Astyanax mexicanus: one gene and its partner. The protein of the gene in region 1 interacts with the protein of each later gene in a pairwise test. Links are inferred from orthologs where the notes say so. Each region holds a gene or a part of one and is shown on either strand. Other genes may lie near its edges. The genes, in order: phyh and pex7.

The links.
Region 2: the proteins of phyh (region 1) and pex7 interact in a two-hybrid assay, tested with the Homo sapiens proteins (2 studies listed by BioGRID, with this or other methods). The link is inferred for Astyanax mexicanus from reciprocal best matches to the Homo sapiens genes PHYH and PEX7.

Annotation. Positions count from the first base shown.
Region 1 is NC_064409.1:12,377,697-12,390,212, reverse strand, and holds the start of phyh (phytanoyl-CoA dioxygenase, peroxisomal), read left to right. Parts: upstream 1-7,730; 5' UTR 7,731-7,889; coding exon 7,890-7,961; intron 7,962-10,260; coding exon 10,261-10,313; intron 10,314-10,733; coding exon 10,734-10,844; intron 10,845-11,755; coding exon 11,756-11,924; intron 11,925-12,095; coding exon 12,096-12,177; intron 12,178-12,342; coding exon 12,343-12,516. Other genes in the region: uncharacterized protein si:ch1073-67j19.1, read left to right, coding at 2,310-2,356, 3,500-3,803, 4,154-4,477. UniProt on the Homo sapiens protein: Catalyzes the 2-hydroxylation of not only racemic phytanoyl-CoA and the isomers of 3-methylhexadecanoyl-CoA, but also a variety of other mono-branched 3-methylacyl-CoA esters (with a chain length of at least seven carbon atoms) and straight-chain acyl-CoA esters (with a chain length longer than four carbon atoms).
Region 2 is NC_064408.1:82,754,996-82,766,640, forward strand, and holds the start of pex7 (peroxisomal biogenesis factor 7), read left to right. Parts: upstream 1-6,510; 5' UTR 6,511-6,856; coding exon 6,857-6,962; intron 6,963-7,809; coding exon 7,810-7,867; intron 7,868-8,447; coding exon 8,448-8,598; intron 8,599-9,010; coding exon 9,011-9,088; intron 9,089-9,542; coding exon 9,543-9,651; intron 9,652-11,645. UniProt on the Homo sapiens protein: Receptor required for the peroxisomal import of proteins containing a C-terminal PTS2-type peroxisomal targeting signal. Specifically binds to cargo proteins containing a PTS2 peroxisomal targeting signal in the cytosol.

The DNA of each region.
Region 1 (12,516 bases):
GCAGATGCACTGTCTCCATTATTCTCAGAAATTTACTTTCGAAATGTTTCAGTTTTGCTATTTTAATAGACCAAATGCTTAACAGAAGTATTAGGGGCATTACATCACTTTGAATGAACAATGACAGAATGTGAAAAACAGAAGTTAAGGATGTATTCTGTGTATTGTGTATTGCAGTACTACATGGAAATATCAAAATGAAAGTTGCGGTACAGTATCCCTTTCTGCCCCGCCTATGTGTTTGATGAGATCCAAGCGCTTTGAATTTTTTGTACATTCTTTTTGTGCATTTTTGTTATTATAATTATTCATACTGTAACTATAACTGTATTTTCCCTGTTCTCTGGCAAAAAGGACACCGAAACCCTGAGTGAATATAAGGTCTTTTGTTTATGTGCATTAGTTTAGGAACATGAACCGTTAAACATAGTTGACATTAAAATATAGTGTGAAGAGTAAAAAAAGGTTTAAATATTTTATGTCTGTGTTCAAATGTTTCAAATTGTGAAAGAAAAATGGATACTTAGAGTAACTCAAACATTTTCTTGATTGGGAAAGGAAATTCCATTCTATACTCTACCATCTGCCCAGGTGGTGAAAACAGATATTAAGATATTACAAAATGTCCTGTGGTGATTTTCTTGTGATTCAGCTGCAATAGTTTTATTACCGTATAGGGCTTGATGCATTTTTAAATTTGTGTATAAGGTATTCAAAAAATGAATGTATGTGCATTAGCAGTTATAAAAAATATCTGCATGACCTGAGAACATTTTGCATTTCCTCTAAATGAGCTTTAATGCGTCATTAGTGTGTAGCAATCTTTTGTTTCCAAATGATGAGTTTGACTGGAAGGTCATGGATATAGTATACTAAGGTCATGACCTTAGTAGTTATTGTTTCTAATTCCTAAGAAAAAGCATTTTACATTAAAGCAGTGAAAACAGCTATCATATGAAAATTTGTTCATTCACTTTAGTTGCAAGGCCCTGCTTACTAAATTTATAAAAAGTCTGTATTTGTAATATAATTTAAATTTACAACTGTATAAATAGGTTTGTACTATTATATTCAGTATGGATTTTATGGAAAATGCAATTAAGAAATGCAGTGTTTTATACATTTATTTGACTTTTATCTCATTATAGCACTGTGAACATACAGAATTTGATTAATTTGTCTGGTCAACTTAATTTGGGACAATAAAGCATTTGCCAATTTGTATTGTATCCATTTCTTTTCACAAAACTTTTGGCACTTAAGATGCCAACCAATAAAACGATTCAGGTGTTATCTTGTCCAATTCTTCCTGCAAATATGTCACTATTGCCTCATTTTCAGTTTAAATTTCCCCACACATATAATACTGGGGACAGGTCAGGACTCCAGACAGGCCAAGTCCAATATACACACACCCTCTTCTTCCACTTCCACTCTTTTGCAATGAGTGCTAAATGTGGGTTTGCATTTTCTTGTTGAAAACTCCATGGACATCCCTGAAAAAAAACTTGTGTTGCTCAATGCACTTTTTCTGCATTCTTTGCCACCATGACAAAAATGCACTAACATATCCCATACCATGTAAGATCCAGGCCTTTAGACTGGCATTTCCATTGTGTAATGATCCATCACAGATGCTTGGAACTGTAAGCCATGTAACCTGCATTTACACACATTAGTGGAAGTATGGGTGGTTCTGACTAGATCACTGAACTCCAGTGTGGGACTGTCATAGGATGGCACTGCTGAAACAAGTCAGTTGGTGAAATGTCTTCACAATTACAGGATGTGTATCCCCTCAGCTGTGAGTGGTGTTATTAAACAGTAGAAGTGTTTAAGAACCACAGCATCTCAGCCACAAAATGTCCAACCACACAAAGTTACAGAGTGGGGTCTCTGTGGAACAAAGTGCATTAATAAAGTTAATTAACACTTGTTGACCCAATAAAGTTTCACACCTCCTGTAAAATTTGGACAACATTAATGTTTGTGGGTTTAGAATGGGAAAGCATAAAATACATACTTTTGCCATAAAGTGACTTTCAAAACCATGAAAGAAAAAAAAAGGAAGCTCATTGTGTCTTACATTGATACTGCAATTACTTTGCTTTCGTTACAAGTCAGATAAACCTTTGGACATACTGGAAATTAGACCATACAAGTCACGTCCGGTAAAATGCAATCAAATGATGTCTCCAGATTACAACACCAATGAGCAGTATTAAAGAAGAGCAGCATCTCCTCTCACAGCAGACCAGTCCAACAGTTTAGCAGTAGCTGTGAATCTAACTACTGAAGAGAAGGTGAAGATGAACTCTGCTGCATTTTCCTGTGCATTTTTTCTGCTATTTCTGGGGTAAGGACTCATTACACCTATTTTTTCCTTTAGATTTTTTTATGTGTACATAAATCCAGATGTATGTATAAAATTTCTGTTCATTAAAAGACATAGAAACACACTATTACCACTAACACGGTTATGTACTTTAGTTATTTTTTTTTTTAGATCTTATTCAAATATAATGCAAAACTGAAACAAATAATTAGGTGTACATTTGATTAGGAGGATGAAAATATCACTAACAAAGGACCCTTTTGGGACACTTTTTTCATATAATTACATACAGTTAAATCCCTTTAATATATAAAACAATAACAGATGTGCTATGATGTCTATTGTTAGTGAGGGATACGATGTACTTTAAACAGTAAAATATAATATAATATACAATTTTGTTTTGTTTTGAGGCAAATATCCAGTGATTTTATTTACTGTTATATATTGTGCTTATTTATACCTTATGTTGAAACATAAAATACACAACAAATGTTTCCCAAGAAGATAAAAACTGAAGAAAAATGTAATTAAGAGGGGCTGCATGGTGCTGAAGTATGCTGTATATATGCATCTGTTTTATGCAATGATAATATATAATGGATATAAAATGCATCAATTAAATGACATGCCACGATTCATGTGATAGCAGTCTGTAAATTGATCATGAAGTATTACCTCAAGAAATTACGCGGGAACAGACACACTTGTAAAAGCTGTGAAGTGTTAAAGAGTGAGGCTAAACATTAGTCAGCGTGCTCATGGTAAGGCAACATGACTTATCAGCTTCAAGTGAGACCTGACAGTGGGCGTCCATATCTGTAGACATGTGGGCATTTACCATCCCAAAAACATCTCCATCTATGTCACACATAAAAGGCAATACACAGTGTACAGAACAGTGGGTGGAAATGATTGTGACTCAATCTGTAATTGTCCATGCAAACTGCCAAGCGACTCTGAGAAAAATCACATCTACTTTCTATGCAGGGCACCTCACATGCATATCTCACAGGGCAGTGCAGTGTTCTTTGGTTTCCATGGGCCATGGCAAAAGTCATGGGACACAATACTAGTTCCCAAGACATTTTTCATGCCAGGGTAAAGCATATACACATATAGCACTTTTAAAAAACGAATTTGTTTGCTTTTATATTTCTGTAGCCATTGTTTAGCCTCCAAGCAACAAGTGGACATCTATGAAAATCTCTGGAACAACAACATGGACATTGCCAACAAAACGCTCCATCTCGATTTCTTGGTACAAATGCAGAACGGCAGCCTGCAGGCTGAGCGCTACGTTAACTTCACCCTGCAGGACATCAACTACCTGCTGAAAGTGACTGAGATGCTAAAGCAGATGAGCCAGACGGTCAAACGTCCACATGACCTGAGCGATTTCATGAAAGGCCGATATAATAGTTACAAGAGCTTTGCAGACTCATTCCTCAGCCAGTATTTCCTCAAGGTAAGATAGAGCTGGAAGATACAAAAACAGTTCTTTGAATGTTTAGTGGCAGAATGAAAAACATGATTTTGTATTTTAGTGAGATTAATTAATATTATCAGTTTCCAAGTTTAAATAATGTTTATAAAAATGTTTGTTTAGCCAACAAAAAAGATTTTTTATCCTTTTGTTAACTGTACATGCACCAAGGCTCTTACTTCAGTATTGGCCCATACAGCCTTCCAGCTGGCTTCTGGTACTTTATATTTGCATATTGGATGTGTTTAAGTTATAATTTTGCTTTGACAGGGTTATGTTATTAAGGTTATGTTCATGTATCTCAAACATTTACATGATTGTCTTGACTACAGGCCGCACCACCCATCAGTCCCACACCAGCCATGAAGAAGTATCTGTCTGACTACAATGCAGTGATGAATGTGAAAGATCCAATCTACTTCACTGTGTCTCTCTTGCCCTGCTCCAGGCTTTGGCTCTGGCTAGCTAATAACTTAGACATCCCCAAAACCAATGCCTACTACACATGGAAAGAAGGCAATATGAGTGGCCACCCTGAAAAGCATTACAAGGACATTCTGAACAAGCACCTGAACACAGATAAGAAAGTGCAGAAGGCCAACCGCATCTTCCGAATGCAAATGCAGAATGAGCATGACTTCTTTGCCACCTCTTGAGCCAATTATTAATTAATAGTGCCAAAAAGGGTTCTATTGAGATGATTTAATATGAGAAATATTTTAGGATGCATTAAGAATCTTTCAGTGGGTAATAAAAAATTATATAAATTGGACGGTTCTGGTGTTTCTTCAGCACTGCTGTTACAACGTATTTTTGGCATCCTTATTTTTAAACATGTAAGACCTGTAATTTGGCATACAGAGCCTTTTTTATTCATCTTAAATGTGTAAATATGCTGCAAATGAATAAAACACCCATTACCAGCTTCTCTTGTTTTTCTTGTAATAAATAATCTCATAATAATACAACCAATAATATAAAATATTTTTAATTTAATAATTTAATGATCAAGGTATATTTAAATGAAATATTTAAATATAACTTTAAGCCCCACTGAATAAATAATATAACACGATTTAACAACCTAACTGTGTTTAATATGCGATCTGAAGGTTTCAATATTTCCAATACATGTTCATTTATACCAATATACATGTTTACAAGTAATTATTTTACTAATTTAGAGTAGAAGGGGTGTTATTTCTTGGTTTTGTTTGAACAGATGATAAATAATTTGTACTGGCTGTGGCATAATGTAATGGTATATGTTTAAATATTGAGTTTGTTACCATATTTTCAAAAACTAAGTATCCAGATCATTTTGTTGATAAAAATGTTTATGATTTCAATATGAACAATAGTAAATGGGTTTAATAAATTTTTTGTCAATGTTGGCCCAGACTTGGCTGCTGATATCCCAAGTTTAGGACATCATCAGTCCAATGAAACTATAAAAGGAAACTTAAACTCAATCTTTCTTTCTGCAACAGATGAACATGAAGTAAAAAATATTGTTAACGAATGTAAAAGTAAAATATCTACAGATTGTCATGATATAGATATGGTATTAGTTAAAAAAGTTATAAATAACATTTCAAAACCTCTGACCTATATTTGTAATCTGTCTTTCCAAACTGGATGTGTTCCGAAAAAAAATGAAAGTTGCAAAAGTTGTACCAATCTACAAAAACGACAATAAATATATTTTTACTAATTATAGACCTATTTCTTTACTTCCGCAATTTTCAAAAATTTTAGAAAAATTGTTTGATTCCCGTTTAGAAAAAATTATTGAAAAATTTGAGTTAATAAATGAAGGTCAATATGGCTTCAGAGCCAAAAGAACTACTTCAATGGCTATTATTGAGGCAATAGAAGAAATTACAAATGCATTGGACAGGAAAAGATATGCAGTTGGAATATTCATGGACCTCAAAAAGGCATTTGATACTATAGACCATTCAATATTATTAAAAAAGTAGAGAAATACGGAATTAGAGGAGTAGCAGGTAACTGGATAGAGAGTTATCTCACAGAAAGGGTTCAATATGTGAAAATGGGTAATTATACATCTGAATATCTTGGCATCGCTTGTGGTGTCCCCCAGGGGGCCGTGTTGGGCCCAAAATTGTTTAACATGTATATTAATGATATTTTCGATGTATAAAAATCACTAAAACTAATATTATTTGCGGATGATACTAATATTTTTTATAGCAGTGACAATCATAATGAACTCATAAATACTGTAAATGATGAATTAAGTAAAATAAAAGAATGGATGGACAGAAATAAGTTATCATTAAATTTAATTAAAACAAAAGCAATGATATTTGGTAATGATAAGATTAATTCTGTATTTCAAATAAGCATAGATGGTGCCCCAATTGGAAGTGTAACTGAAAACAAATTTTTAGGAGTAATAATAGACAGTAAATTAACATGGAAAGCCCACATCAGACACATAAAAACAAAAATTTCCAAAAGCCTCTCTATTATGAACAAAGTAAAGCAATTTCTCGATCATAAAGCACTCCGTATACTATATTGTTCTCTAGTTCTCCCATACTTATCATATTGTGCGGAAATATGGGGCAACAATGATCAATGTACAATACAAACACTATTTAAATTACAAAAACGAGCAATGAGAATTATACACAAAGTTGGATTTTTAGAGCCTTTGTTACCGTAACTAGTATGGTTGCCCTTTTACCACTGTTGGTATGAGGGCTGCTTGTGTATAGTATTAGAACTTTCTTTACTATCGCTGTTGGTATCTAGGTTAGAGGATTCTAAGTATTTGTAAATTTAATTTTCTCTGTTGTTAAGTTTCATCTAATGTAAGTCGATGGGAAGTGGCTATGTAAGCTATGTAAGTTATGTTAATTTTGAAGAAAGGGGTGGGTTTAAATAAGTTTTCTTCTTCCCACTCCTTTTTGAGTAGCTGTATTGTATATCTTCTTCTTCTGCTGCTCATAATAAAATATCTCAAAAAAAAAAAAAAAATTCTACCTTTGTCCTACTGTAATGTTGCTGCTATAACACTGTGCACATTTCCCCACTCTACGACTGTGTTTAAGGATTTTAGGCAAACTCACAGTGGATTTGAAAATGAAAAGAGATTTTTTTATAGTTTAGAATTTTAAAATCCTATAAAGTCATTTAAAAGAACATACATTTATTTAGACATTAAGTGAATTTAGTATTTTCAAGATTTGTGTTGATATTATTACGTTACTACATGTATTCTTTATTATTAATGTCATTATGTCTAATCATATACAGTGGAAACTATAGGCTCTTAATTAGGGGTTCTCAACTGGTCTTAGCCTGGGACCCAGATTTTCTCATGGTCATTAAGTCACGACCCACTTTTGTAGAATACAAACCAAACAAATTTATTAAAAAAAAAAAAAAAAAAAAATTTAGACATACCTATGAATGCATAGTGAATTTAAGAGCATCAACTGAGGAGCAACATAACAACTACATGTATAAAAGTTAACAGTTACTACAATAAAATTAAATGGCCACAAAATTAGATATTTCACTTTTCTGCATATCTCTGCATTTATGGTACATTAGTAAGAAACTCTGTCTCTTTTTTTTAATATAAAAGACGATTACAATGTCAGATGAGCAGTATTATTTTATTATTATTATGTATTTATTTATTTATTCTTTTTTTTTGGGGGGGGGGGGGGTAATGTTCTTTTTCAAAGATATATAAAATGTGATTTACCTCTGGTGTAGAATAAACCCTCACCATAACAAGATCATATCAATCTACATAAAATGTTACATCATGGAAAGCGTTTTAGTTTTGTAAAATGAGCTTAATTGCAATATTGTCAGTTATATAATACAGTTCTTATCAGACTGTGTGCTGAGGGATCTGGGCTAAGTGTCAGTGTATCTGCCTGTCACGTACTTTGGTACTTTGTCCCAGTTAGGCTAAGCTACCTATATGTAGGCAAACAGAAGCGCTGGGAGGAACCAGAGAGTGCACACAGAAGCTGCTGTCAGCAGAAGAGCTTATTTTATTTGGTTTTTGGGCTAAACAAGATGTCTCGACGCGCAGCGGACAGGCTGAAGGTTGTCCTCAATCATCTGGACCGCTCCAACTCTGCTTCTGTTGTATCCTTTTGAGCGTTAGCCTGATGGCTTGCTAGTTTAGCAACTTAATGTAGGGAACGCTAGCTGTTTCCTCACAGCGAGCGCCCGGTCTTAGTGCAGCGTGCTGCGTGTTCAGGTTCAACGACAGTCCGAGGCTATGATGGGCCGGTTATGCAAGAAAGGTGGTCCGTTTAGAGAGTTTTCAATGTTTTACACTGTTCTACACAATTTTAAACGCCACTGCTTATTATGGTTTATTTTACGATTATTTTTTTTACGTTTGCAAGCTTGTCATACACTTGTCATGGCTATTTTGTTTAACTTTAACGCATAAAGTTAGTGAGAAATAAAAAGCGACGACACCGCCTGCAGATTATTCACTGCACCGGCAATTCTGTCATTTTTACTGAGTGTGTGTTATTAAACACACACTTCTCCATTGACTGGAGAAGGACTTGACTTTTAATTCAAAAAAAGACCAGAGAAATAACTTACATGTCAACATTTTACATAGCGAGTGAATTCTGTAATTTTCAGGTTCATGGATTTTTGATGAAACATTTATTGCATTTATTTTTCCAGTGTGAACTAATTATCTTTAACTAATAAATGGTGTAATACAGGGGTGTCAAACTCATTTTGGCCGAGGGCCACATTGGCATATTGGCTGTCCTCTGAGGGCCAGATGTAACTTATAAATGTAATAAAATGTAACCAAATGTAATATAAAATGAATGTAATTACTCTTTAATGTTAAATAACTCTAAATGGAAAAAATGTTTGCTTGTTGCTCTATTAACATAAATCCTTTTAATTTGTCATGTTATGAAATCCAAAAACTCCATCAATCAAGAACCAAACTATTCAAGTGAATAGAAATGACATAAAATACAAGTTATATTAACTTTGATCAAAACGTTTGATACTGAAATAAGGCTTAATAAATATAAAATCAAAAATTGTGAGCTGTTAAGAATATGTGATAGATTTAGCATTTCCTCAGATTTAGCAGTTCCTCATCCAACCACTAGTGGGAGCTGCAGCAGCAGCACAAGCCCCCGCTGTCTTCACTGAGTCAGAGCTACAGCCCAGCCACGGGCTACAGGCTCAGCTCAGCCAGTCTGGAGCGTTTTTAAAACATTTTAAGTTCTTCTGTGTAGGAAATAAAGGTTTTAACCCCACTAACCGGATAATACAGCTCTCTACAGCTCATCTTTCAGCACAAGCAGCTAACAGCAGCAGTTCAGAGCAGCGTCACGGAGTCACTGCTCGGATTAACGTTACATTATAAACAGGTCAGTTAGCGCGCTGCTAACCTCAGAATGTTTATAACTACGGAGTTTAGTGCACACACCACGGCTGCAGGGTTAGACTGTTGAAGGCTACTGAAGACTATAAAAGGCTATTGGAGGTTATTGAAAGGGTTATTGGAGCAGAAATCAGTACAGGCTGGTTAGATAAGTGATTCACGTCTTCGTCCTTCGCTGCGGTGAAACTGAATAGCGCTGACACAGTGATGTTTATTAAAATCATTAAAACAGATTTTGTCAGCTATTGTCTTATAAATATTTACACATAACTTATATCTCTTCTAAAAAGCGTTTATTTTGGTCAGTAACACTCTTCGTAACACAAAAGGCATACCATTCTTTCTCCTTGAAGCACAGCCGTCCGTCTGAATCAGCTTCTCTTTTTCTGGACATTATGGGATAAACATTTCACCCGCGAAGTTACGCCTTCCCTCCGGCAGGGTTTCCACATCAATGACTACACTGCCGTGTAGTGGCAGTAAGCCGTAACTTCGCGGGTAATACAATCGACAAGCATTGTGGGAAACGTAGTTTTTGGTCAAAGCACGCTTCTGATCCATTTATTATAGACACTAAGATCTTACAAGCTCTCGCGGGCCACATAAAAGGACGTGGCGGGCCACATTTGGCCCGCGGGCCTTGTGTTTGACACATGTGGTGTAATATGTCCCCATCTTTTTAACCCCCTTAATAGCCCGCTGGACCACAACCAATCTTATATTTATGCTTTGTGTCTCATTACTTAATGTGTCTCATTACCTAATGAGAATCGTATGTATATGAATTATTAATTTATTTTTTTGTTGTTTAATGCTTATGTTGCTTCTCCTTTTATATGGCCAGGATTTATGCTGAATCTTTGTGACTTGTTTGAACTACCACTATGATCAATTTTCTGTAATGTCATCTGTCATATGTTTGATGTAATTTGCATACTTGTATATGTTTACATCTAAATTAATCTAAATTAATATGATTTCTAAATCTTTTTCCTTAACTGCTTCTAACAGCGCTCATCCTTCACTTCATCCCAGGCAGTGTCATATCATCCTCAAACATTACGGTAAGTTAAAATGTTTTAAAACTTGCAAACTCTAAATGAAATCAATATAAAGTAGCTATATAATGACATGCAGCTAGAAATCTCACCAGAATCATTTTTAGGGTGGAGAAAAAGTTTCCTTCTCTTTATGCTGATGCTGTTTTGTTTAGTGTTAAATAGTGCAGGGAATACCCAATAGGGAAATGTACAGTGTGTACCTTATTTAAATACTGGGTACACAGTGTCTGTTAGACTTCCTTCTGTGTTAAGTGCACATAAATGAATAATAGTTATATTTACCTTAATAAGGCATCTCAATGTCACAACTGTTATATTACTACAGGTGGGTAGTCCTAGTAAAAATCCATCCCAGGAACTCCTTGGTTTCCGATCTATATTACATTGTTTTGTATGACACTTATTGTGGCTTCCATTGTGCAGGTACACCTTTGACACAGGTTTCCTGAGTCCAGAGCAGAGGATTTTTTATGAAGAAAATGGCTTTTTACTCATCAAAAACCTGGTTTCCGAAGAGGACATTGATCGTTTTAGGTAGCTATGCCTCGCAGTCTGTTTATTAACACAGTTTGAGTAACTTTGGTAGTATTAATTGTGTACAGGTAATTATTTATATAGGCAAGAGCCTAGGTTATGCCTTTCAGATGCTTTGGCTTATCCAACAGTATATATTTCATTTAGGTCAAATGTTTTTGGTAAGTTTTCCACCTAATTGCACTCCCTTAAGACGAACACAAGGTGGCAGCAACACCCTGCATCGCAATTGTGTACTATACATTAATACTATATGAATATATAATAATTTAATAGTGCAGGTTGGCACCTTAGAACACTCAGTATTCATGTAATGTAGTAAGTAAAGTATTGCTATACAAAAATACATACTGCAGCTTTTTCTGCTGCCGTTTTGCGGCATTGTTAGCTGGCATTTTCTTAGAAAAAAATCAAAAACCCACAAGCTCTGAGAGTGCATTATGGATATCTGAGTATATTTAACTTTGACACTTTAATCTATACAACATAATGCATACTCCAAAACTAGTTTGTATTAATAATAAGTGGTAGTGCCACAAGATTTTACCTAAAACAGCACACACGCACAATAATATGTTAATGCATGCCTCCACAGCTTACAACTGTTACAACGATTCCTCTCACAATGCTCATGTACAGGCTTATTAAATCCGATCTGACCATTCACATTTATATCACATTCCTACAATTTGGATCTGTACACGATGTAGGAACACATATCACAGTGTCTTAGATTTGTTTTGAACAAATCAGATTTGCCATGTTTAGATAGCCTTGAAAGAATTAGATCTTTATGGATCCAAAAGTGGTTCTTCTATGGCATCCCACAAAGAACCATTTAAAATACCTTTATTTTTACAAGTGTATATGACAACTGTGTTTAATAAATCTTATTGTGTGTGTGCCTGCAGGGCAGAGTTTGAGCGTGTCTGTAAAGGAGACGTGAAGATTCCAGGCATGGTGGTGATGAGAGATGTAGCTATTGCGAAGTCTGAGTTTGTGCGTGATCAGAAGGCTGTATCTAAACTTCAGGATTTCCAGGATGATGCAGAACTATTCCGCTACTGCAGTTTGCCCCAGGTACATTCACACACAAACAGGCAGCTAGCTATAAATTGGAATACTGTAAAGTGTGATATATGGCTCCATATTTTAATAATAAAACCTAGCAGGCTGAGACAGGCCAGCAGTGCCTTTATCCAGCTATATGGAGAAATGTTGCACTGCAACAGATACTTGTGTCTGTTACAGATTCTGAAGTATGTGGAGTGTTTTACTGGCCCCAACATCATGGCAATGCACACAATGCTCATTAATAAACCCCCAGATGCAGGTAAACACACACCTAAATATGAAGTAGACTATACCCAGCTGTACTTTCTGGTAGTGATATTTGGTTATGCAGATCTATTAACTAGTTTGTTTTTTAAGTAAACTTGTATACACTGTTAGAATTATTTGCACAAAGATAGGGTTTAAAGAGTTGTTTTTTTCTCAGGAAAGAAGACATCTCGTCACCCCATGCACCAGGACCTGCACTACTTTCCCTTTCGCCCAGTCGACCACATTGTCTGTGCCTGGACTGCCATGGAGAAGGTGAACCGACAGAATGGCTGCCTGGTAGTGCTTCCTGGAAGCCACAAGGGCACCCTTCAGGAACATGACTATCCAG
Region 2 (11,645 bases), on another chromosome or scaffold:
TTTGTTTGCCCCCAGGCCTGCTCCTAGGCCCCCGGATAGTACCCCTAGCACTGTGCCCAGGCTGGCTCCCCTGACTTTGCCACAGACATTTCCTTGGACATTTGCCAGTCCTGGGCACCCTCCTGTGTTTCTGGTCCCTGTGTCTCTCCCTGTTTCGGTCCCTGTCTCAATTTGTGTCCCTGTACCCATCTCAGTCTCTGTTTCTGTTCCTGTCCCCGTCACTGTGTTTGTGTCCGTCCCTGTAAATGTATTTGTTCCAGTTCCCCTGTCCAGTTTTGTCCAGCCCCCTGTCCAGTCTCAGCCCCGTGTCCAGCCCTGTGTCCGGTCCCCTGTCCAGTCCCAGTCTCCGTTCCCTGTCCAGTCTCAGTCTCCTGTTCGGTCCCCTGTCCAGTCTCTGTCTCCTGTCCAGTCCCCTGTTCAGCCATGTGTCCTGTCCCCGTCCCAGTCTACATTCCAGTCTCCGTCCCATGTCAAGTTCCCTGCCTGGTCTCCGTCTCCTGTCCAGTTTCCATTCCCTGTCCAGTCCTCTGTCCAGTCTCCGTTCGTGTCCCCTGTCCAGTCCCTGTTCCCTCTCTCTCGGCGCCTCTGGTAGTGGCGCCGTTGAGGGGGGGTTATGTTACACCTTAGCCCATGTCTGTCTTCTGTTTCTCCCTCGTTTGGTCTCTTGTGCTCCTGCCCCTCTGTTTTCCTGTCAAATGTTTCCCAGCCATGTGCTTGTGTTGTTGTTTTTGTACCTGTCTCCACCCTAGCTCCGCCCCAGCCCTGCCCTAGCTATTAGTGTTCTCACCTGTGTCTTGTCTGTAACCCCGCCCCCTCGTCATCCTAGCCCAGGTGTTTCTCACTCTCCTCATGTATTTAAGCCCGTCTGTTTGAATGTTCAGTGTCGAGTCTTTTGTATTTTGTATCCTTAGTAATCTTTGTATCCGTTGTATCTTTGTATCCTTGCCGTTCGTTTGAATCCTCGTCTTCCGTGCACTCTGATTTTGTGTTCCTAGTTCTAGTTTATCCTTGCCTTGTTTTCTTTGTAGTTTTGTGCGTTACCCGAGTTTTGTTTACTGTTTTATTTTATCTTGTTTGTTTAATAAATAATATATATTGCACTTACGTCCATCCCTCCGTCTCCCGCGTTACACACTGGTTAGCATCATGCATTCCCTCATTTTTACAAACATTTTTTGCATAGTTCAATAATTCAGATGGAAACGTTTAGAGTCATTCAGGGTTTGGGTTTTTTGTGAAAAGGTTTATTCTATAGAAACATATGTATTTACATTACTGATGATGAATAACATAGTTTTACCATGACTTAAACACAGATATATTCATTTTATTTACTGTCCAAAAGTCTTCATCTATCCATTAGTCTTATATGTCTTAAATGTGAACAAATATGTTTTCCTTGGGGCCTGCATGTAATTCTCATCATGAATGAAAATAATGTGTTTTAGACCAAATCAAAGGTTATCATAAAACAAAAACAGTGCTGTGGGCATGATGCATTATTTCATGTAATGACGGCTTTTTATGCAACTTTTCAGACGTCTAATCCATCCACCAGCAATGTGAACAGTTCTGATTCAGTACGTTTCTCATTATAGAGACATTTTGAAAGATTATAAGTATTTTTCCAAGTAATGGTAAACACACTCTATATGCACACTGTGTGATATACTGTTATCTATAAAGTACAATACATCAGAAAAGCAGCAGAAAAGTTGTGCCCACAGTTGTGTACATTTTTTCAGATAAACTTTAACTGGTGCTCTTTATCGTTCTTTACCTATTAGCTTATAGAGTATTGCTGTTACAGTGTAAGGCTAAAAAAAAACAATTAATCGACTACAGTTTTTGAGAAAACTTGCTTATTTTAAGTTTAAAACATCTCTTAATAGAAGTCTGTTTTATTCAGCTTCTCTTGCTTTGATAATGTTTTAGTTGGCACACCTGTTGTCAGTTAATTTCACTTGTGAATAAGAATCAAAAAGACACCATTGAATGTGACACTGTGTCACTGCATAAAGTACAGAGGGAGAAAACTGGCCTTTAGAGCAGGACGTACGCAGCCGTTTAGTGAAGCGCAGGCCTCAAAGTAGGAACATTGAAAAGCATGAAAGCAAAGCAACAGCGCTCGCTCCTCCTAAAGACGGGGCTCTGCGCCACTCTAATCCACTCTCTTTATGCTGCGGCCTGTTGGGCAGTTTTACATTAGTAAATCACTGTCACACCATTAAATTCCTTCCTTAAATTCCTAAAAGGAAAAGTATCAGCATTTCCAAGTGAATAGGGATTAGGGCAAACAGCGGCTGCTGCCCACCGACGTGCATGGGAACGGTGTGGGGGCCATAAATCCGGCAGTTATCTGCTTTAGAGCTGCTGGTCCCAGCCTTTGAAGTGGCCCTCCATATATCAAAGACGCACATGATCTGCCCAGAACATCTCACAGTCAAAACCCAGAAGCGTGAAAATGACAAGCGGGCCTCATGCTTTTCTTTATAGTGAACACATTTAAATGAGCAATAAATAAACAAAAAAAAAAAACATAAATATTTATAACTTTAATGAAATAAACATAATATATTTTATGCTTTATGAATAAACAAATAATGATAAAAGATTAAAAGATTAAATTATGAAATATCTAAATATCTTTTTTAATAAATAAATTCACTATGTGGACCAAAGTACTGGGACACCTACACATTACAGGGCTCTGTGTGGGCTAGTTCTTCACCAAATATTTCTCACACCAGACTCACCCAGCAATACATCCTAGACCTTGCTTTGTGCACTGGGGCACAGTCATACTGGAACAGCAAAAGACCTTTCCCACAGAAAACACTGGGCACACCTACATTTTACATCTACAGGAGCTTTTTACAAGATTCTGTAGTGTGTCTGTGAGTATTTTGGCCCGTTCCTCCAGGAGATCACATAATGCTGGACAAGAAGGCCTGGCTTGCAATCAGTTCTAAATGATCCCATTGGTGTTTAAAGGGGTTAAAGTAACCCAAACTTCAAGTTCTTTCACACCAAACTCACCTAATCATGACTTGGACCTGGTTTTGTGTACTAGGGCACAGCTTTACTGAAACAGAAAAGGGAATTTTCCCAAACTATTTCAAAGATGTATGCACAATTATTCAAAATCTCATGGTATGCTGAAACACTAAGATTTGGTGTGGTGAATATCTGAATTCTTGTAACTTGGCATATGCTGTACTTTACTCGAAATTGACCGTCTTAAGGAAAATTTTCAGAGAACACTGCAACAACAAAAACATCACAAATAAATACATCATATAGCAGGAGTATTAAATAAATTGACCACATTGGGCTGCTGTGGCTGCATGTTTTCATTCTCAACAACCAGCACCTGATTCCACATATTTAATGAGCGATAACTCACTGACCCTTTGTGGATAATGTTTGACACCCTGACCTAGAGTGCTAGAAATACTTTAATGCAAAAGTAAAACAAAGCTTTGTGAAGCCTGTAGGCCAGCCCCCATTATGGACTCAGGGTGTAGTGAAGCATGATACAGGATGCGCACAAATAAGTAGAACAGGGAAACAGATTGCAAAATGAATCCTGTGGAAATACATCATATTAAGGCAACAATATACTCGAGGTTCATGCTATAACATGTAATATTGGCACTGCTGTGCTCGTAGACATGAGGTTGCAGGCCAAGTGCCATAGATCAGCACAGCAGTGCCAAAATTACATGTTACACCTTGAGTGTATTATTGCGATTATACCACAGTTTCATTATCGCTGTTTATTAAAAAAGGGTACCACTTTAAAATAAGACTACCTTTATAGAGGGTTTATAAATGGTTTACGATTAGTTTATTAATGGTTATGTAAATGTAAATGCCTTAAAATAATGAATAATCAGTTATAACACATTCGTAGAAAGGGCAACAATATAGATGGTTGTGGGTTCACTATTTGTCAAACAACAGGTCATTGTTGCCCTTTGCACGTATGTGTTATAACTGATTATTCATTATTTTTAGGGCATTTACAAACCTTTTATAAACCCTTTATAAAGGTAGTCTTATTTTAAACTGGTACTGAAAATACAATCTGTTTGTATGTATAAAAACTCTGCGAGTTTAAATAGTTTCATTGCTGCTCGGCTGGTAAGCGTTGTATCGTTGCTAGGTTACCTGTATGTGGCGGAATAATACATGGAGAGCTTTGGTTACAGTGCATTACCAGCTGATAATGGCACTCACAGAACGATTCTCAAACAATTACATTGCAGGGTCAGAACTAACTGTGGTATAATATATAATATATTAAATACTTGCCAACTCCTTTTACACCAACTCCAGTCCAAATATAAGTCCAAATGCAAGTATTCACATGACCTTTTAAGGGTATTTTAGTTTGTGCTCCTCAGTCGACTTATTGAGACTTCATTTCTAGATGATGTGTGTATAAAACGTGTTGTTTATAATAAACTTCTAGTGCTCAGTGACTCGGTTTAAATATCATGGTCCTCAAAATTGTACCAATGAAGCTTTTTTGAACTTGTTATTGATGTAAAAATACAAATGTCCCTATCCCTAGCATTGTAAGCTTGTTGGGAGCATCGGCCAAAAGCGCTGTATTTTAGAATGCTGAGGGTGAATGGAGGTGGGCTATTCCACAACAGTTGGTACTCATTATCATGTTCCACTACACAACAAGTCCATTTCACACCAGAGTTTTCCTTCAATTGTTGGTGTAGTAGTGTGTAGTCATTCAGGTAACATTCTCCTGGAATTGTCCAGTATCAGTGTGCTTTACTCCACTTCATCCAATGTTTGTCCAGTCATGAGAAGAATTCCCGCAAATAAACACAATACCGCCACCCTGTGGAGAAACTCCTATGTGCAGCATCACATTGTCTCTCATCATTAAGGCCTTTGTGATATATTTGACAGCTTTCCAAAATTACTCACTATTTGACTTAAATTTCTTTATCTGTTTTAGAACATAGTGCGTGATAGTACGTTGTGACAACATTGTGAGCACCAAAACAATAGGTTGTCACAACGTGATTGTGTTTTCTAAAATGACATTGTCAGATAATGCACAAAGGAGCATGGTTGACTGTAATTTGAAAACTTGTTAAAAGGTAGTGTTATGACCAAGGCCATTATTAGGCCACTCTTACCTAATAATGACGTGTTTTGTGGCAAACGCTGATGATAAAACATAAACAGTAGGAATGAAAGAAAATTGAATTGTGATACTTTGTTTTCCAATACTGTATCGATTTTTCAAAACACAGAATATTTTTTATCTTAGTAGATTACATTAATAAATACAAATATATCCAAAGGGGACGATTTATTATATGCAGGGATTATATCTCTAAATGTTTTGCCTCTATCAGAAAATCCCTAGAGAGGAGTTTACTCACTTTGAGAATGTTTCGAAACTAGTGTCAGACACTAGAGGGCGCTCACGAGTGAGTCCAAAATAATGGGTTAACATGGAGCAAATGAGCAAAATCCTAGTTTATAAAAATTATTTTCATGCTGAAATTACTTATTTTATCACCACAGAACAATATCATTAACTATTTAATGACCGAAGACATATGTTTAAAGCTTTTAAACTCTAGTTACTCATATTTTACATGTTCTCTGGCTGTTTTATTTCAGCGTCAGCTCACCACCAGATATCTAACAGTAGCAGTAATGTTTGTCAAAAAACATTTTCTGTAGAAAAACATTCACGTAGGTGAATTTGCTTTTTTTGACAAAGTGTGTCATTCTACTTTATAAAATTAAGCAAATTCTTTTTTATATGTTTTAGACACTTTTAAATGTGAGTTTTTAAAGCTCCATTCAGCCCTTTTAATTTTGCACTCACTGGCTGGTGCCCTCTAGCGGCTGACAGTAACTTTATACTCCTATATAACAGGGTGACAGGGAGTGGGCAGGTGTTCTGTCGAGTTGTGCTACTCACAGACATCATATATATATATATATATATATATATATATATATATATATATATATATATATATATATATATATATATATATATATATATATATAAGCACAATATATATTTATATATATATAAGTATAAGTATAAGATGTCTATGGTGCAACTCATCGATATGCTTACCACCCGTGCGCCTTTTTCTAAATGATACAAACGTATAAGTAGAGAATAGAAAATAGCAATAATAAGCAATTAAAAATACAAAATATGTTTTTCTAATCACGTCTCATTACCTTAACTTTACTTTTTTCATACGGTTAGTTAGGTAGCTTATCCAAATATCCTGTTGGAAGCATAGTGTGCTTATTTTTTATATTTATACTTAAATATTCACTAGGGTAGCACGATTTGACAAGGTAGCACAATTCGACAGGAATTTTTTATATATGTTGATGTATTTGAGACTAGTGTCGCTAGTATATAATGTGGTCTTAAGGCCAATCAAAGAGCTCGGTGTTGGTTCCAGTGTCAGCAGGTCCACCAATAGGAGAGGACCTTTATTCGCTGCTGTGATCAAAATACGGAAATGTATCGCTACTGCATGTGAGGAGAGACTGGTGCAGCTTCTGTTCAGATTTTCTTTATTAACTGAATCTCTGTGCAGATTAAACTCCTGTAGAGAGATCGGGTCGGGGTTTAATGATGAGGTGAAAGTCGGGGTTTAGTGAAGACTGTCATCTTACTGAGATTAGTGGGGGAGTTTTCTGCTGGTAGTAAGTTTAGGTTAGCTGTGGGAGAGAGGAGTGAGCTGTAGAGGTGGAGGAGTGAGTGAATGAGGGAGGGAAGGATTGAGGGAGTGAGTAAGGGAGTGAGTGAGTGGGGGGCTGAGGGGAGTCTTTTCTCAGTATGAAGGGGTTCAGGTGTTCAGCTCGACACGGTTATGCTGTGGAAGTCTCCCCGTTTCTCCCTAACAGACTGGCGTGTGCTACAGCTCAGTATTATGGGATAGCAGGTAACGAGCTGATCCTCTATCTACACTGTTTATATTAACCTACAGTCTTACAGCACCAGTTGGCTTTTACACAGTGGTGCATGAAGCATAATTCACAGGATAAAAATCTAATTGCTTTAAGTTAGGTCACTAAACCCCTTAAAATTTCTGCCTGATATTACATGCCTATATCTTTTGAAGCTTAAAAATAAAAAGGATTCATGTTTGATAAGAAACGTTACTGAAAATTGAAATAGGAATTGAAAATTAAATCTGGAGCAGTAGAAATGTATTCTGTGGAGTGACTAATCACTCTTCTCTATCTGGCAGTCTGATGGGCGAGTCTGGGTTTGGCAAATGCCAGGAAAACATTATTATCCCTATTGCACTGTAACATCTGTAAAGTAAAAATAAAAAGTTTTTGGAAAGTAAAAATAGTAAATCTGCACAAATCATCAAATTTACACTTTCCTAAACTTTAATTTTAAACCAGTATTTTCCTCAACACAAATAAAATATATAATGCCCTCCAAAAATTTCATTTCATTATGGCTGTCTAGTTTTTATGTCTATTTTCCAATATTTGAGGTTGGTTCTTCGTACTCTGGAATTATTAGTAGAATATAAGAAAATGGACAGGCAGCTTCTGCAAGTCTCCTGAAGGATTCTCTAAAACCCTCAAAGTTATTAGAATGCAAATAACTTATTTTACTGCGGAAAAGAAGTATTACCTACACTTGTTTATTTTATATGATTTTATTTTATTTTGTTTTTTGGACAACTAGCTGTTCTTAAGGTGGATTTTTAGCAGGGATGTCATGTTTCTTATTTTAAAATGGTACTTTGTGCTTTTTATTGTTTGTTTTAGGCTGTGGAACGCTGTTTGTGCTGGAGCAAAGAGAAACTGATGTTCAGCTTCTAAGAAGGTACAGTAAGGTTTACCTGTGTACTGCTGACACAATTAATCTGATCAGATGTTTTGAAAGACATACCTTTACAGTCAAATGTTTGGACAAACCTTTTTTCTCATTCAATTATTTTCCTTTTAATGTTTTTTTTATATTGTAAATGTAATATTGAAGATAATAAATCTATACAGGAACACATGCAAATTATTTTTTAATCAGTACCAGAACATGTTTTATATTTAGATTCTTGTCTTCGTGAGATAGAGTCACCTGGAATAGTTTTCTCTAGAAATACCTAAAAAAGTTGAATTTATCAGTCATCTTATAATAAAAAGAGTGATCAAAGATCATGTAGTAACAGTCCACTTCCGTCTTATGTTAAAGATATGGACAGATTCTTTACTATTATTTTTACTCTGAAATCCTTTGGAAACAAGGGACATTAGGAGAGGAGATGCTCAGTCTCCCTTTGCTCAGGACTATAATGCAAAAAATCCATTACTTTCAACTCACAATGATTAAAAGAATCTTGATTATGGAGGTGTGTGAGCTTCATCTTTTTTACAGGAAGTTTTGTTTGTTTGTTTTTTATGTGCAGCTTTGACTGGAATGATGGGCTCTTTGACGTGACGTGGAGTGAAAGCAATGAGCACGTGCTGGTTACGGGGGGCGGGGATGGGTCACTACAGATTTGGGACACAGCCAACCCGAAAGGTCCAATACAAGTCCTGAAAGAGCACACACAAGAGGTAAAGTTTCAATATGCAGACAGCAAACTCCATCACAAGGACAATTGCTTAATTTCTTTGTTAGTATAGTTTTGAATATGTATTCTAAATTGTTGGACCAAGTCATTGTAAAATACAAACAATATAGTTGTGAAGTATAACAGAAATTAAATTAAAGTTTAATACAACTGTGTGCACAAAATTAATGTTCTATTTGTTCTTGGTGGTAATCCAGGTTGTATTGACATTTAATAAAAAATATCAAAAATGGCATTGATCCAGAATCCCTGTATTGGTGCTTCCCAAATTCATCTCAATAATCCAGATTTTGTCAGTTGGTGCATTTCTAGTTCCACCCTGTATGTCATCTTTGTCTGTCTATACTGAGTTACATCCAATTTCAGGTTATTATTTCTTGAATTTCTGAAATCAGGTCTATTCAGTGGATTGGAGTCAGACACGGGGGGAAAACCTGGTGGTGTCGGGGTCGTGGGATCATACAGCCAAAGTAGTAAGTGACACAGTGAATGTTGGTATTTGTAGATGTATTTTTTGTAATTCTGTGTTATTGTAAAATTGTTGTTAATTGTTGTAAATTAAGGGTCATTAGATTTGAGTTGGTATAAATGATGTTATTTTAGTTAGTGCATCTTTTCTGCCACATTTGCCATGAAGTGCTATATTTCTGATATTTCTGTTATTGTATTAAGTGAATTTTTAGAAGCTGCATTTATAACACAATGTTAATTATTTTTTAATTATGTGTGGAGAAAAAAAAGAAACAGCACATATATTTTCACCTCAAAGCAGCTACATTTAAAATAATTCAGATGGAAATTCCTGATTGGCTTAATATAAAATCCCAGATTATGTTCAAAGGCTTGGCATAGTCACAAGGTATACGTAAGCTCTGCAGTATATGAACTGCATTTAGTCCATGTGTAGTAAAATATGTTTCTTTACAGTGGGATCCAGAACGCTTCCAGTCTGTGTGTACACTGCAGGGTCATGAGGGGGTTCTCTACAGCACCATCTGGTCCCCACACATATCATCCTGCTTCGCCTCTGCTTCAGGTAAGGGTAATAGGAGGTTTATGATTCTCTTGCATTTGAAATATACTTATTATTTTAATGTGATTATGAAAGAACGGGCTATTGCCTTACTTCACCTTTTATGAGTGAACAGGTTGTGTTCTTATGCCAGTACTGTTCGAACCTTGTTCAAAGTAAGTGGGAAATGTACCCCAGAAACTTTGTTTTCCAGACTGTTAACAGGGGCCAGGATTTGTTGTTAGTTTACAATGTTCTGATTGTCTTCCATGTATTGTTTCTCGAATAAAAAGCAGTCTAGGCTTCAGCATTGCTTTACTTCAGTGTGAATGGGTGCTGCTGAACAGCTGTAGGTTGAAAATGCACTTATTAAATACTTTGTTAGGAAGACTACACTAATACCATGTAGGGCCTCCCTTTGCTCAAAGCCTCAATCAGCCTGATATTAATTTCACAAGATGTTAAAAACATTCCTTTGATATTCTGGTCCGTGTTGACATGATTGTCGAAAAGTCTTCTTGTAGATTCAAATATCGTAACTGGGAAATGCCACTTGTTGAACACTGAGTTCATTAAACCTGTTGAGATGGCTTTTTTGTGATATTCTGTGACATAATTCATCATCATGCTGGAAGTAACCTCTGGAAGAGTGATGGAGTAATGAAGCAGTAATTTTAGTAAGTCAAATTAGGACTGAGTCTTACTGAGTTTAGATTTGTATTAGATTTAAATTTAGATATAGCGATGTTGATATTTTAGCAGTAGTATTAAAATAAACTGTCATTTGGAAGATGATTGATTATTTTTGTGCATGGATTCATTCTACTGGTACCAAGTCCCTTCAGGAGTACCTACAAAATACTGAGTACATCTGTTACCTATAAGAACGTTTTTGGACAATATATTGTTCCAGTAATAATCAGGATTAATTATATTATTGTTACTTTAAGACTATTTTATTCCACTGATATCACAATATTATAATGGCATTGTTATGTTGTTCCACACTTTTCACATCATTTAAACCTGCTTTGCTACATTAGGACCTGAACAGCTTACAGTCATTAAGGGGAACATGAATACCCAAGTTTATTAAAAAAAATATGCAGGACAGTGTAAGAGTGGCTGTACTTTTGTACTGAAATTGTAGACAAGTTCGGTAATGCAACAGGACAATGACCCAAAACACCAGAGCAAGTCCACAGTAGAATGGCTTAAGAAAATCAAAATACTTATTTGTAGTGGCCAAGTCACAGCCCAGATCTCAGATGCTTTGGTTTGATTTGAAGAGAGACGTACATTTAAGATGTCCAAGAATTATGGCCGAGCTAAAGCAGTTCTGCCAGAAAGAATGGGCTAAAATTCCTCCTGAATGATGTGCAGGTCTGAGCCGCAGCTACAGGAAGTGCCTGGTTGAGACTATTAAAGTTATTTATGACAAATTTGTGCAGAAAAACATTAAAATTCTAAAGGCTCACATACTTTTTCTTGACACTGTGTGTCTGTGTTTGCTTACAAAATTTTGGCAGGGCTGCTCTTCTCTTCATTATTGTAATGAATAATATGGAGGGATCTGTATTTATTAAAAGCTGTGCTTCTGACATACCTGAGTGATTGCACTCTTCTGTTGCTGTGTATTTTTCATTTGATGTAATATATAACAAAAATAACTGGTTTAATCATATGAATGTGGTCTCCTTGCTAAAAACGTAAAAGTAGTAGTAATTTAGTCCATCCAGTGAATAACTATATAGCATCTACTACTTCCTTTTCTCTTCTTTTTTTTATTTTTGGCATAAAAAAAGCTAAAATGTCCTTTGCTAAGACTAACATTTGTTTGAATGCACAGGCACATGAAGTAAATTACCTTACAGTAGTAAAGATAAAAACTGATTTCTCCCGAAGTTATTTGTTGTAAAGACTAAATTATTGAGCTAATGTCCATGTATTAAATGATCACTTAATTATGTAATTATTTAAACACGCCTAGACTCAAGCTTGAATAAACATATCAAGGA